Lytechinus pictus: one gene and its partner. The protein of the gene in region 1 purifies or fractionates together with the protein of each later gene. This does not show direct contact. Links are inferred from orthologs where the notes say so. Each region holds a gene or a part of one and is shown on either strand. Other genes may lie near its edges.

Region 1 (7,768 bases):
ATGTTTTTGGCGGCCATTTTGAAAGTCAAAATACAATATTTAACACAAATATGAAACCCGAATAATATATTTCGTTGCAAATTATATTTGAAGACAGTATTCCACTAATTTACCACAAAAAAATACGTTTTAGTGCTCACCTTGTGATTGCTTTTGTCCTCTCTCACATCGTAGATCATAATTTTAGGGCCTTTGGCGGTCATATTAAATATCAAAATACAGGGTTTATCACATACATGGCATGTATGTAATTAATAAATTTCGTTAACAATTATGTTTTTAGTCAGTATTCCACTCGTTTATCTCAACAAAATGCATTTTAGTGCTCACTCTTGTGATTTTTTGTGTGTCACCATTCACATTGTACATAATAGTGTTAGGGCTTTTGAAGGCCATTTTGAATATCAAAATACAGGATTTATCACATAACTGACATAACAAATGATATATATCGTTAGCAATCATGTTTACAGACATTGCTTCACTCATAGATCATAATTACTTGCATTTCTGTGCTCAATTTTGTAAAAATTAATTTTCCCCATTCATATTGTACAGGGGTCTATGATGGCGGCCATTTTGATATCAAGAAAATAAATATTTTGACAAAATTCATTTTTTCAGATATTATTTCACTCCGGCAGCATAATTGCATGTACTTTAAAGCCAATGTGTGGACAATTTTATGATTTTCATGGGTAATTTGAATATTTTGGCGGCCATATTGGATTTTGCCAATTTGCAGAAAATGCTCAAGGTTACACGAGTGGCATCATTCAGATTCGGAATCAGCACCCTCGAATTGACAAGAAACCATAAAAAAACATTGTATATATAAAAAAAACAAGGTTCGACCCCTTCTATCCTGGACTATATCGGTGGCCTATATGAATAAACTTTGATTTCTTCACAGGAGTATGTTAAAGAGGAGGGTGCTTTTTCAGTGTTTAATTTGGTTGTTTATTTTTTTGTATATTTTTATTTATTTATTTATTTCATGCGTAGGCTCATAAATCGTAAGAAAAGTAGGACCTTAATGGATCATTAAACTGTACTGAGGCCTACATAAGTCTGATTTTCGTTCGAATTATTGGCCCACTAGGTCTTTAAATAAAACATTAGAAGTGAATCTGTCCACTCTGAGGATCTCCAATATTCTTAAGATTTCCTTCGATCAATAGGAATCTGGTGTGACTTTGGGCCATGGACCCCGTTTTTTTTCACAATCCCAAATTGTGGAACAGGGTTGAAAAAAAGACAAGAAAAAGGGGGTCAGAAATCCGGGGGTGAAATATGCTTTTTTTAATGATATTATTTTCTAAATATTATACCAAAATCTATCGCAAAATTATATGTATGTATTAAGAAGGTACCAACTCTTTTTTTAATTGCCCATCTGCCATATCTGCCCTCTTAATTAAAACTTCTGGCTCATTATAAGCTATATTGCCCATTAAAGGAATACTGAGGGGTCACTCGAGGTCTTCATAGTCCAGGATAGGCCCCATAGACAAGGGGTCGAACCTTGTTTTTTTAGATATACAATGTTTTTTTATGGTTTCTTGTCAATTCGAGGGTGCTGATTCCGAATCTGAATGATGCCACTCTTGTAACCTTGAGCATTTTCCGCAAATTGGCAAAATCCAATATGGCCGCCAAAATATGCAAATTACCCATGAAAATCATAAAATTGCCAACACATTAGCTATAAAATGCATGTAGTTGTTGTGCAGAAGTGAAATACCAATTGGAAAAGCGATATTTGACAAAATATTTATTTTATTGATATTCAAAATGGCCGCCATAACCCCTGTATACTTTATTATGTAGAATATGAATGGGCAAAATATTTTTTCAAACAAGAGCACTATTATTGCATGTGATTGTGACCTGCGAGTGGACTACTGTCTGAAAACATGACTATTAACAAAACTATGTCATTTGTATACTATCTAATGTGATAAATGCTGTATTATGATATTCAAAATGGCTGTCATAGACCCCTTATACTGTGTACAATATATAAAAGGGGACATATAATTTTCACAACCTTTGAATTTGTTTGACTTTAAAATGCCAATAACTGCGAAATATTGGTGTAACACCGTCTGACAACAAGGATTTCTAACGAAACATATCATTTCCCTTGCAATTTCGGTAATTATGCTGCATGTTGACATTCAAAATGGCTGCCATAGGCCCTATCTGTATTATGAACAAAGCGAATGAAGAAACTAATTTTCACAAGAGTAAAAACAATAAAATGAATGCAATTGTAATCTATACGAGTGAAATATTGTCTAAACACATGATTTCTGGCGAAACATATCATTTCATTTTTCATGCATGAGATGAATGCTGTATTGTAAAATTCAAAATGGCCCCTATGGGCCCTTACAGTATTATCTACAATGTAAATGGGGACAAATACTTTTGAAAGAATTAGGATTTGCCTGACTATGAAATCCATATAATTATGTTGTATAAGGAAAATATTGTTTGAAAACGTGATTTTTTTAATGAAATATAACATTTCCTCTCCCATAGGTGATAAATACTGTATTTTGACTTTCAAAACGGCCGCACAAGCCCCTACAAATTCTGTAACATGCGTATAGGGAAACTAATCATCACCAGAATGAGAACCAAAAACGCACGTAACTATGTGATGTATCGGTAAAATTTGGTCTTGAACATGATTTCTGACTAAATACATCACATAATGGTTGAGAAGGTAATAAAGGCCTTACTTTGAAATTCAAAATTGCTGCCATAGCCCAAAGTAGTATGTACATTGTAACTGGGGACAGATAATTTTGACAAAATTTTTACTATGAAAATGGCTTAATTTTGATGTAAGTGTTAAAGAGAAATTCCAGTATTTGCAGTAAACACTGATTTCATGAGAAAGTCTGTAAAAACAAGGCTTAATTGTCAGTATATCATCGAGGATCTAGATCTGGTACAGTTACATAAACTGAACTTTTTGAAATCTTGAAATCTACGCTGAAAAATGTTCACACTGAAGATCACCAACACAGATAGGCACACGTGGGACAGTGTATTATTATTGCTAAAATAAAGACCCGACGGAAGTGACCGAATCCGCGCTTATTTTGCTTATTTCTCAGCAATCACACAATTTCTTCCAGAATCCTTTGGCACATATTTTTTATTCATACAAACAGACACTTAGGTGGTCATTATATTAGATTCTGTAAAAAGTCATTTTTAGATCGTTACCAAAACTGGAATTTATCTTTAAGTATTGTCTAAACCCAATGATTTCTAACGAAATATATCATAGCTTGTGTCATAAAGGTGATGAATGCAGCCTTTTAAAAATGAAAAATGGCCGCCGTAGTCCCTTATCTTAATATGTAAAATTTGATTGGGGAAAGATAATTTCCACAAAGAAACATATTGCAGCCATTTTGACATTTAAATATAGCATTTATCACCTAAATAACATAAGAAATGATCTATTTGGTTACAAAATCATATTTTCAGACGATATTTCACTCATACATGCAACACCATTTAGTCAAGCAAAGCCAAATTCTGTTAAAATTATATGTTCCCATTCACAAAGTACATAATAGGCCTACTGTTAGGGCCTGTAGCGGCCATTTTGACTTTCAAAATACATTATTTATCACCTACCTGGCAGAATGAATGATATATCTTGTTAGGAATTATGTTTTCAGACAATATTTTACTCTTAAATCACAATTATATGCATGTTATGGTGCTGACTCATGTGAAAATTGGTTTCCCAGATCGATTGTACATAATACAGTCAATGTCTTTTAGCGGCCATTTTGAAAGTCAAAATACAATATTTAACACAAATATGAAACCCGAATAATATATTTCGTTGCAAATTATATTTGAAGACAGTATTCCACTAATTTACCACAAAAAATACGTTTTAGTGCTCACCTTGTGATTGTTTTTGTCCTCTCTCACATCGTAGATCATAATTTTAGGGCCTTTGGCGGTCATATTAAATATCAGAATACAGGGTTTATCACATACATGGCATGTTAAATGATAAATTTCGTTAACAAAAATGTTTTTAGTCAGTATTCCACTCGTTTATCTCAACAAAATGCATTTTAGTGCTCACTCTTGTGATTTTTTTGTGTCACCATTGTACATAATAGTGTTAGGGCTTTTGAAGGCCATTTTGAATATCAAAATACAGGATTTATCACATAACTGACATAACAAATGATATATATCGTTAGCAATCATGTTTACAGACATTGCTTCACTCATAGATCATAATTACTTGCATTTCAGTGCTCAATTTTGTAAAAATTAATTTTCCTCATTCATATTGTACAGGGGTCTATGATGGCGGCCATTTTGATATCAAGAAAATAAATATTTTGACACAAATCATTTTTTCAGATATTATTTCACTCCGGCAGCACAATTGCATGTACTTTAAAGCCAATGTGTGGACAATTTTATAATTTTCATGGGTAATTTGAATATTTTGGCGGCCATATTGGATTTTGCCAATTTGCAGAAAATGCTCAAGGTTACACGAGTGGCATCATTCAGATTCGGAATCAGCACCCTCGAATTGACAAGAAACCATAAAAAAACATTGTATATATAAAAAAACAAGGTTCGACCCCTTCTATCCTGGACTATCACGGAATTTCCGTGGAGGTCTTCCGTATCTGAACGTGCTCTGTCATTTATTGTACCTGCAAGTATTCACTAAAGGGAAAAAAATGTTCCGTGCTTGTATTCTTCAAAAAAATATATAAGAAACTTTTGTCAGCCTTTTTTTTTTTAATTTGTATTTATTTATTTTTTATTCGATTTCTTAAATTTTGTAACTATGTACCGTAAGTGAAGTATCATTAATCATTAAATGTGCTCAGACGGACACTTATCACTTTCGAGCAAGGTGATTAATTGAATTGCTTACTTCACCGATTTGGATCAGCTGCGTAAAGCTGACGTGTGTGTACGAGACTTAAGGCCTAGCCTACTTCTGTGCTGTGTTAACAAGCTAGCTACGCCGACTGAATTTTATTTAGGCCTAGTTTAGAGTTTAAACAAAACTCCAAATTCAAGCCAGTGCCAGTAGTAGTCCAGTTTAAAATTGTAAGTTGATCTAACGTTATTAATGTAGAGCTCTGTTTCGTCTTTCAACATTAACTATGAATATGACTGCGATTAACAACATAGGCTAATTGTTTTGCTTTTTGTTTCAGTTTTTCACCATGGTCCAAGACTCCAGTCCATGTTCACCGTATCACTATCAGTTTCAGAGTCGATTCTCCACTCAGTTGATTCATGAACAGTTGAATGAAGTTCAATCAACTTCCATACTTCATCAGTTAGTTAGGCAACCATGACAAGACAGTCACTGTGTGCCTTAGACAGCTGGCAGCCGTCCGTTTCGAGGAGTTTTTAAACTTTTTTTTTTTTTTAGAGTGAAGCCAACGGAGTTCAGCTGAACAACCAACATAACAGAGACCGAAGCTTTTGGTCTATGTGTGCCTGTGACTGAGTTGAGTTGAGACTGAGCTTAGCCTTAGACGTAGCTAGACTAGACCTGAGCCGAGTATTATGAAAGAGAGACACGAATCAAATAATGAGTCTAACTTTGCTTCAATTACTTTTTAGTAATTGGGATGGTCTGGGCTGAGAATATCTAACGTTGGATCCAGATCTAGATATAATCTGGACTCTATGTCATGATGTGGCTGACCATGATTTGGCACATTTTGAAAAAAAAGTTGGTTTTCAATCTAAAAATTACAGTTCACACAAAATTAATCAAAATCATAAATACCAGATGGAAGGCAAGATCCCAAAGGCAAAGTCAAATTCGCTTGATGGAATTATAAAGTAGGTCAAGGTTTGCACTCGTATCGCGATCTCAAAACTCCATGGCGATCGACTAGTGCGCACTTGGCTGAAAAAGTGTCATAAAAAGTGTGACCTTAATTTGCACACGATCGTTTTGCAAAGCTTTAAAAAAGTAATCAAGCAGACAAAGGTAAGATAATTATATCAGATGGAGGTTAAAATGCCATAAATTTGGTTGGTATCACATTTTACTTATTTGGAGACCTCTCCTTGCAAACTGACGATTTCTTGATGCTTGCCAAAAAGTTTAGATTTTCTCGGAGCGTACGCTAAAAGTAACAAAATTCGCCAATGTTTTGCCAATGTCTTTACAATTTGAGACCTTCAAGAATATTATCATACTGAGTAATTTTGGGTCGCTTTTTCTGTTGGTGATATCACTTTTTCAAGATGTTAATTAGATATTCGACTGCACAAAATCAGGTAAACTGCGAATTAAGTACACACCACCATAAATAAATAGAGTAAAATTCACAGAGCAAAATGCTGAAAATTTCATCAAAATCAGATAACAAATTATAAAGACTTTAAAGTTATTGAATTTTTAAGTAAACCATTAATTTGTGAAAATAGTTATATGCACATCATCATGAATATTCATTAGGTGGGCTGATGATGTCACATCCCCACTTTCCCTTTTCCTTATGTCATTACATGAAATCATAATTGTTTCATTTTTTCATACGTGTGAATAATGTGTCTCCTTTATAATGAAATAGTTGCAGCAATGAATATCTAATGCACTAAATCAGTTGTCCAATTTTTTTAAGTTCTTGGTAAATTTGTTTTTAATAAACCTAATTTCATATAATAAAATACAAAAGAACAAGTGGGGATATGACATCATCAATTTGCTCATTGAATATTCATGATGACATGCCGAGAACTGTTTCACCAGAATAATGTAAATCTTTAAAATGCCATAACTTTGGTATTCCTTGTCCGGTTTTGGTCAAATTTTCAGTGTTTTGTTTGTCTCATTTTTCTCTATCTGTTTAAATCATATAATTTTCAGCCTGGAGTATCCCTTTAAGTCTGGTGAGTGGTGTTGCCATGCCTGTTGAGTGTTAGTGCACAGACACAGTGATGTTCGTGTAGGGTAGGCTCCACTTCACTACCGCTACACTAGGCTACACCTACCCGAACATCAAGGTACAAAACTCCGAGTGACAAAGGTGTGATTTAATGTGTATAAAACGTGAAACTCGTGCAACAACACAACCTTTAAAAACAATAAAAACTAATATTCCTACATTTCACAAAGTTTCACTTTTCCACGCTTCTATCAGTCTCAAAATCGTTGATTTAGAGCCAGTAACAGTTTCCTCACACGTATTAATTCACTGCCGATTTTAAAACATCGCAGTTGCGCATGCGGGGAAATCGCAGCTCAATTCAAGAAAATTCATGATGGGACTATATAGTTCGGGATCGTTTCGCATAACTTGCATCAGATCTCGATAGTTCAGATTTTGATAGTTTAGATTCTCCTATAAGAAAGATGTGTAAGATTTTTTTTGTTTTTGGGGGCTAATTATGATCACCCTCTGTATTTATGAACTTCCATATGAGTTATAAAAGAAAGTTTTGATCCAGATTTAAAATAGAGCCAATATAAATTTTTGGATAATGTCATATGTCAAATGGAATCGCCCTTATTCTTGGAAGACAAAATCTTCATCATGCAAAATTTGTGTCATCCACTTCTCCTTAATCAAATTTTCATGATAATAAGGAGACATTTAATTCTGCTTTTGAAATGTGAGAGATGGATCCAAAAGATTAAAAACACAAAATGCGTCCAATAAACAGTGATGGACGAAAATATGTTCTTGTGACGTGACATAATGGAATGAAATATTCGAGGCCT
Region 2 (8,057 bases), on another chromosome or scaffold:
AAAAATTTTGCGGAAATCATTTTTCTTTTTTACGATATTAGCTTCCAATCGGACCCCTCTTCGCATGTGAAATATTTTTGTCACTTGAAAAAGGTATCGTATTACCGAACGTGTGTTTTCTATAGACCTTATCGCAAATAGCGTCTGTCGCGTGAGGGCGTCTGTCATCGCAGAGGATCATGGGATGCGAAAGGGGGCAAACGCGGAATCGGCTTTCAGGAAGCCATACAACGCCATATGTTTTGTGTAGTGTCACTCAAAATCCAGGCTTTTTTTTTAGTCTGATTTCTTCGTATTTATATTATTTTGGATACTTTAATGTGGATTTATAAAACAATCTTTGTATCATGATTGCCCAGTGAAAGTATGAACTCAATATTCACTGTATTTTCGAAGTTTTCTGGGGCTAAACTTGGGAAGATTTTGTGGGGAAAGTGAGACGGTGATTGCGGGTCAATGCTGATCGACTTTAGAAAAGAGCACGTCGGCGTTCCGAATTAGATAGCATATTTTTCCATTAAAGAATATTCATGAGAATCATAATGTAGACCATATATATCTCCATATAAATTTAGCTAGTTTTTGTTATTTTGGGTGAAATATAGTCCTTTTTTGCAACTCGGGCTGTTTAGTTTGATCATACAAGTTCTGGTGCATGAGACAAATCTAAAGCCCAAAATAAGCTAGTGTATATATATATATATACATATACATAATATTAAGGACATACAAAATAATAGGCCTATGACATGCAGAATAAAGATGAATAAATCTCTCAATTTAAAACATTTTATGATCCCGTATAGGCCCTATCCCTCCAATCTCTCTGTAATTTTATTTTGTCTGAAACTTAGCAGATGGATATTTAATTCATATAGATATATATTCCATTCTTTTGATAAAAAATCTTATTTCAACATTTACATCTTCAATTAATTTCATCGCATTCAGTCACTTCTCTTACAAATCACCTTCCTCATTAATTTCTTTTTTCTTTTTTTAGCTTAATTTTCTCTCAATATACTTTCATCTATTCTCATTTTTTTCTATTTCATTATGATTATTTTGTCTATGCATGCCAACAATAAAACTTCAGAATGTCCGACCACGATCCTGAATAATATGCAATAATATTATGTAGCCTATCTGTGGAGAGAAAAAGAAAACACAGCTCGGTTTATAGGCCTACTCTGAATAAAATCATGATTGAGATAATTAATTATGAAACATGTATTCTTGACTATCGATTGATATTACAAAAAATATATAACTAGACTAAAGTAATCAAATCTACTGCAGAGTTTGTTTTATTGATCATCATTTTATTATTGCTTGGAATTCCGGGACCAGTTTCCTCCACTGCCTCGCCGACGTACCCCTGGGCCGAGAGTGCATGCCCGCTGTCCGTGCATACAAGCACACTTTGCACAGCAGCTGCACAGATCAAAATACGCACAGACAGTGCGCGAAAATGAAAGAAAATTGCACTTGTCTTCATAAAATCTGTGGTAATTCTTGCAGCTTTATACAGCACATCTATCTCTGCCACCCATGATTAAGAAGAAAAGTGATGTTAGACTCTGGAACAAATATGACGAGGCGTTTACTGGAAGTTAGCAAAATGTTGGCTGCCGGCGTCGATCGTATTTTGATACACTATGGAAATCGTACACTTTATTGTCGGCTGCTTGCGCTCGCATGGTCGCATCCGGACAACAGCGGCGCTATTGCTCCCTTTGCGATCCCATGATCCTTTGCGTGAATCTATTTGCGATAAGGTCTATGGGAAAAATTGAGAAAACAACAAAATCACTGGTGAGCTATTTTGACCATATTTTAATATTTTTAGAATATCATAACTTTGAAAATGTGTTTTGACCATTTTTCATCATCTTTCTATTCAAGTTCCCTTTGGAAGGATGTTGCAAAGTTTTGAGCGTATGAAATTATTTTCTGACGCGTACGATGCGCGCGTTCGGTAATACAACTACAAGGCCGTTCGGTAATATACAATCACTCACTATACTAGTAGTACGCCTATACCTACCTCAGGCGATGTTCGTGCAGGCTCCACTCCACTTCACTACCGCTACACTACGCTCCACCTACCCGAACATCGGGACAGTGAACTAGATCGGATATTCCGAGTCATAAAAGGTGGGATGGCAATCATGGTTATCGTAGAAATTAAAGAAAAAAATATAAAGAAGGATATGAATGACTTAATAATAATATCTTACTTTACACCCGTATTTCACTCCGTGTCCATCCTCCGGTTATCCTCAAAATTGGTGATTTTGGGCCAGTATCTTTTTCCTCACACATATTATTCACGGCCGATTTCAAAACATCGCATGCGATCGGTCGCTGATCGATCGCGATCGCATGCGATGTTTTGAAATCGGCCGTGAATAATACGTGTGAGGAAAAAGATACTGGCCCAAAATCACAAATTTTGAGGATAACCGGAGGATGGACACGGAGTGAAATACGGCACTTACGGGTGTAAAGTAAGATATTAAGTCATTCATATCCTTCTTTATATTTTTTTTCTTTAATTTTTACGATAACCATGATTGCCATCCCACCTTTTATGACTCGGAATATCCGATCTAGTTCACTGTCCCGATGTTCGGGTAGGTGGAGCGTAGTGTAGCGGTAGTGAAGTGGAGTGGAGCCTGCACGAACATCGCCTGAGCCTGAGGTAGCCTATACCATACAACACGTAAAAATATACATATGGGACCGTACATGAACAAATCTCTACTTACTCTTCCATATAAAACAGGATTTTCAAGGATATCTATGTCATAATGGATGCTTTTGAGTTCTTCTATATCCAAGAAATATACTGATGTCCCTGCCAACATGGTAATGTTGGTTAAAAACAACGCGAGTGCGATGTTTTCTATTCGCTTCAATCCCATCTTCTCGTCTCACGTAACGAGCTGAAAGTCCTCGGTTTACTTTATCACTGCATGCATGCTTGCACCGTACGCGTACCGCACCAAAGTTCGACTGCTATGATGATTTGCTTGCATGTGATTGGCTCGCGCTCGTTAGCTGTATACAGTGCGTTTCAAAAAAAAGGTAATCCAAATCTAGAGGGCTGATATTAGGATCATATTTAATTTTGTGAAATTATTCTGCATGGATATATATGAGAAACTCATCAGCTTTCAATTGATACCCTATTTGTATCATTTTGTGCCACGCATGACCAAATCAATCGCTTTTAAAGACAACAGGTGCAGAGACCATTTTTTCCAAGTTTTGGTAAAGTGGGTAAAATGTGAACTTGATAGAATAATATGTTTTCCAAAGTAATTTTTTGGAATGAAGTGTTACTTGAGGCATTTCTCTGAAATGATGAGTGAAAAGTGTATGTCTTATCATGGACCTGGTCTTATTTACCCACACCTTCAACATGTCATCCTCTCCTTTGAAAACAAAACCAGAAGCGTTGAAGGATATATTGGACAGCTCGTCTCACCAATGGCAATGCCGGATCATTGTCCAAAGCATCCACCTCATATCGAATTTTTATTTTATTTGTCTTCCAACTTTGAGTTCGAATACATGACAAACATACAAGTGTGTATGAAACAATAAGTACATGATAAAACATACAGGTATACATAAAACAGAGTATGCAGAAAACATTGTTTTTAAATACATTATACAGCTTAAGACAGAAAAGAAATAATTTTAAAGGAAGACGAGGAGACCCTGCAAGTCATCAAAATCGTGGGGAAGAGTTGCAAAAACCTTATTTTTAAGTGTCCCTAAGGGAAATAATCAAAGGGCGTGCGGTCAGGCGATCTTGGTGGCTTTTTAATGCCATGGTTGAGGGCAACAACGTAATGTCCAAAGAGTCTATATCACGAATGATGTTGGAACGATGGGCAGGAGCTCCGTCCTGAATCCACCAAAGATACCTGTACACTCCTCACAACTGTCCCTCAACAATATGTTGGTCCAAATGTGGTACGATCTCCTCGTTAATGGTGTGCAAGTACATTCACTTATTAACAATCCTTTGTAAGAAAAAGGGTCCAATCAAAAGATTTTTGCCAGCTCAGACATCGATGAAAGTATTTACATCAGCATCTGTCTTTTCATCAAGTTTTCAAAAACTTGGAAAAAGGGGTCTCTGCACCTTTTGTCTTCAACATCAATTGATTCGGTCATGCGTAGCGCAAATGGCATAAAATAAAATAAAAAGAATATAGGTAACTTTTGCTTAAATTTCCATTATTGAGGTAAAAATTACGCATTTTCATTATCCAAATATGCAGGCATCCGCAGGTCCTTAGGCATGGCCGTGTGACTGTAGTATTAGCGAGGATTCAAAAGATAGACCAATAGGACGCACAAAAGACAGATAGTCAGGTCCAGATTTTAAAAAATGTGCTCAGAAAAAGTGCTTAATAGGCATTTTGTGTTAATGCTTATTTATCGATTGTTTTAAGGTAATTCAGGGGTGCTGAATCCAAAAATGCTGTTTGCCAAACTTGATTTCGACGTTTTCATCCTCAAATCGGCAAAAAAAAACAAAATGGCGGCATTTTGAATGCAGTTTCCCATAGGCCTATTAAGCGATTTTTATTGGTGATTATATTTCAAAAATTGGGGTCTATGCCTTATTTTTTATACCCTGGGTTGCAAACACAATGCATCCGATTGATTCGTTAGCCATCTTTAATTCCAAGATGGCTGCCATGATTCACAGCTGCTGATTGATAAATAATATGGCCAAATATTTGATGATTTTGGGGCGATGCTGGCATAATCATGTTGTGATATTTTAACGTGTCCTTCATTTTTTACTCGCCTGCATACCAGAAGCATGACATGGACGTCGCTTTTCCGACGGCGGCGATGACCATGGCGGCGGCAAGGTCAACATCAAATCTTAACCGAGGTTAAGTTTTTGATAACTTTTAGGGTATAGATGTCTATTTCATGAAACTTAGTGTTAAAATCTGTTGAGACAGGTTATAGTTACAAAAGGTTGTCCAGGGTACCTGGAAATCCAACATAGCATCCAAAACGGCAGTGTTTGTACCATCAACTCCAAAAATTAAAGTAAGTCATCAAAATCAAAATCATAAAAAAGCTTTCAAGGCAAATAATGAATCAGGACATGTTTACAAGATAGTCAGTGAGTACGTTGTCAGAGAATCCAAGATGACCTTCCAAAATGGCGTCTATATAATGAACGTTGTAACTTTGAAATGGTCCAAATTCTTATAATATCCACCCGGTAGAAATAATTTTGCGGTCTACCGAGAAAAAAATAAAACATAAAAAATCATGGTTCCAAGGAGAAAAATTACATTGGAAAATTTTCAAGGAGTATCAGTGGTGCTGTTTTGCAAAAAAAACATGATGGCTTAAAAGATGCTTGCTATTTCTTAAAGAATTGCTGCATAGTGCACATACTATATAGGCCTACCTAGAGACATTTTTGTATCTTTCTCATGATTTTAAGGGCCAAATAATATAGGTGAAGACGAATTACAGGGATACGCTGTTGTCCATTTTGTCAAAAAATTGCAGAACACTCCAAAAATTGCATTCGAATTGGCCAACATTGATACAAAAATGGCAATACTTCATATCCCATCTAGCGCCACTATTTTGGTGCCTCTGCTATGTATTTAAGACTCATAAAAATATGTTTTACAAGAGTTAGTGACAAAATTAGATGGTGGTGCAACAACAAGTAAACATCCGAAAACAAACTTTAAGAAATACGGTACACTTTCACCTAAAAAGAACCATAATTCGCTGATAAGAATTTCAAGACACGTCATTAATAGTGCTTAGGACTATCCTATGTGGTTTCATGATTAGGGGACAGCAGTTATTTTTACGCAATTTTAGAAGTCGCTTTGGACTTTTACAACGAAAAGGACAATACTGACCATCCTTGTTATTTGTCCCGATTTATTATTTCAGCCTTGCAAGCCACAATAGTGTAGATTATTTCATCTAATTATATTTTTTAAGTGATGGAAGTCTTTTTAGACTCATTTTGAAAGCCATCTTTGAATAATAAGCAAAATGGACAGCTTCACAGAATTGTAACTAATCCAAAAGTATTATTAAACCCTTGAAACCATGGTGTAGACACCGAAATCATATCTCCCAGATGGATTCTAAATGGATTATGTCAATTTTTAAGTATCAGCACCCATTTTAGACTCCTGTATTGGTAGTCATCCTGGATTTTTGGACAGACAGGACTATTAATTGCCCTTCTTACTTATCCTTTATGTATTACTTGACCTTTTAAACCAAGGGTTAGATAACATAAGCATATACCACAGGCGGATATTAAACAAACTATGTCAGTTTTAAGGTAACAATAGCCATTTTAGACTCCAATTTTGGAAGCATATTTGGATTCTTGGACATGCTGGACCTCTGACTGTCCTTGTATAACTTATCCTACTTTATTATTTGACCCTTTAAGCCATGGGTTAAACACCAAAATCATATACTCCAGGCTGATTTTAAACAAACTATGTCAGTTTTTTGGTAAGAACGGCCATTATAGACTCCATTTTTGGAAGTCATTTTGGATTTTTGGACATGCTGGAACCACTAACTGTCCTTGTTACTTGTCACAATGTAATACTTGACCCTTTAAACCATGGGTTATACTACAAAATCATATTCGCCAGGCGGTTATTAAACAAACTGTGTCGGTTTGTAATTAACGACAGACATTTTATGCTCCATTTTTGCAAACCATATTGGATTTTTGGACATGGAGGACCACAAACTGTCTTTGTTCCTTGTTCCAACATATTTTTGACCCGCTTAACCATGGGTTATAGGTATCAACATTATATCCCCAAGGCAGATATTAAACAAACTATGTCGGGTTTTAGGGTTTTTAGATAAGAGTTATTTTAGACTCCAATTTTGAAAGCCATCTTGGATTTTTGGACATAGTGGACCGTTGAATGTCCTTGTAACTTGTCACAGTTTACTACTTGACCCTTAAAATCACCAATGAAAAAACAACAAATAAAAGGCATTCATTGTAAATTTTTAGGCCATGGCAGCCATTTTTACGAAATCTTGGATTTTCAGGTATCCTGGAGTGCTTATTTTCACTCTTTCCTTTTACCCTCTATACACCGTTGAATGCAAGTCGTGTATGCACCAAAAAAAGGTCTTTATAGGGCAGATAAAGAGTCAGTTATATTAATTTTGAGTGCAATGGCGGCCATCTCAGACGCCATCTTGAAAATAACCACTTTCCCGGATGCGAATTTTAGTTGATTTTTAGTATGTTATTTCTGAGATCAAAATAAAATAGTACCAAAAACAGTTGACAAACATTTTTTTAATACAAATTTTGGGGTTCAAAATAGAGCAAAAAAGGATGTAGAATGGCGGCCATATTGTTTTTGCCAATTTGATGATTTTAACATCAAAATCAAGGTTGGCAAACAGCATATTTGGACTCAGCGCCCTCAAATTATGCTGTAACACTTTTCAATTCTGCATTAACACGATTTGCCTAAGGCAGTCTACTTTTCTCAAATCTGGACCTGACTAAGATCCTATGCAGGTGTCTAAAAGATGTGCACACAGGGATTTCATTAATCATTCAGACATACCCTAATATAGGCAAGGCCGTAGCAAAAGTGGAGGGTGTAGGATGCGACACCCCCCCCCCCCTTCGCGCTCGCCCCACCGTCAGTAAATCTGCGAGCATGTCGGGAAATTGATAAAAAAAAAAAGGGCGAGAGGAACTGAAGGGGAAGGGGAAAAGGGGAAAGAATGAAAGGTGAAAAAAAGAAGAAAGGGGTAAAGAGAAAGAGGGGGGGGAGATGATAAAAAGATAAATAAAGGATAAGAAGAAGAAGAGAGCGAGGGAATGGAAAGAGGAAGACGATATGCGGAGCCCATAATGCTGCCTGTCGGAATCACGCAGTGCTGTTCCAACATTCCAACTGCTTTGAGTGCCATGTTCGTTCTTGATTTCAACCACATTTTGTCGGTATCAATCTCAAATTGTAGGCCATACATTATTT

The links. The genes of interacting proteins can lie anywhere in the genome.
Region 2: the proteins of derlin-2-like (region 1) and protein OS-9-like purify together in Homo sapiens (affinity purification with western blotting; 3 studies listed by BioGRID, with this or other methods). This does not show direct contact. The link is inferred for Lytechinus pictus from reciprocal best matches to the Homo sapiens genes DERL2 and OS9.

Annotation. Positions count from the first base shown.
Region 1 is NC_087246.1:9,527,705-9,535,472, reverse strand, and holds the start of derlin-2-like, read left to right. Parts: upstream 1-4,707; 5' UTR 4,708-5,127; intron 5,128-6,913; exon of another isoform or gene 6,914-7,050; intron 7,051-7,768.
Region 2 is NC_087247.1:60,358,192-60,366,248, reverse strand, and holds the start of protein OS-9-like, read right to left. Parts: upstream 3,023-8,057; 5' UTR 2,928-3,022; coding exon 2,772-2,927; intron 1-2,771. UniProt on the Homo sapiens protein: Lectin component of the HRD1 complex, which functions in endoplasmic reticulum (ER) quality control and ER-associated degradation (ERAD).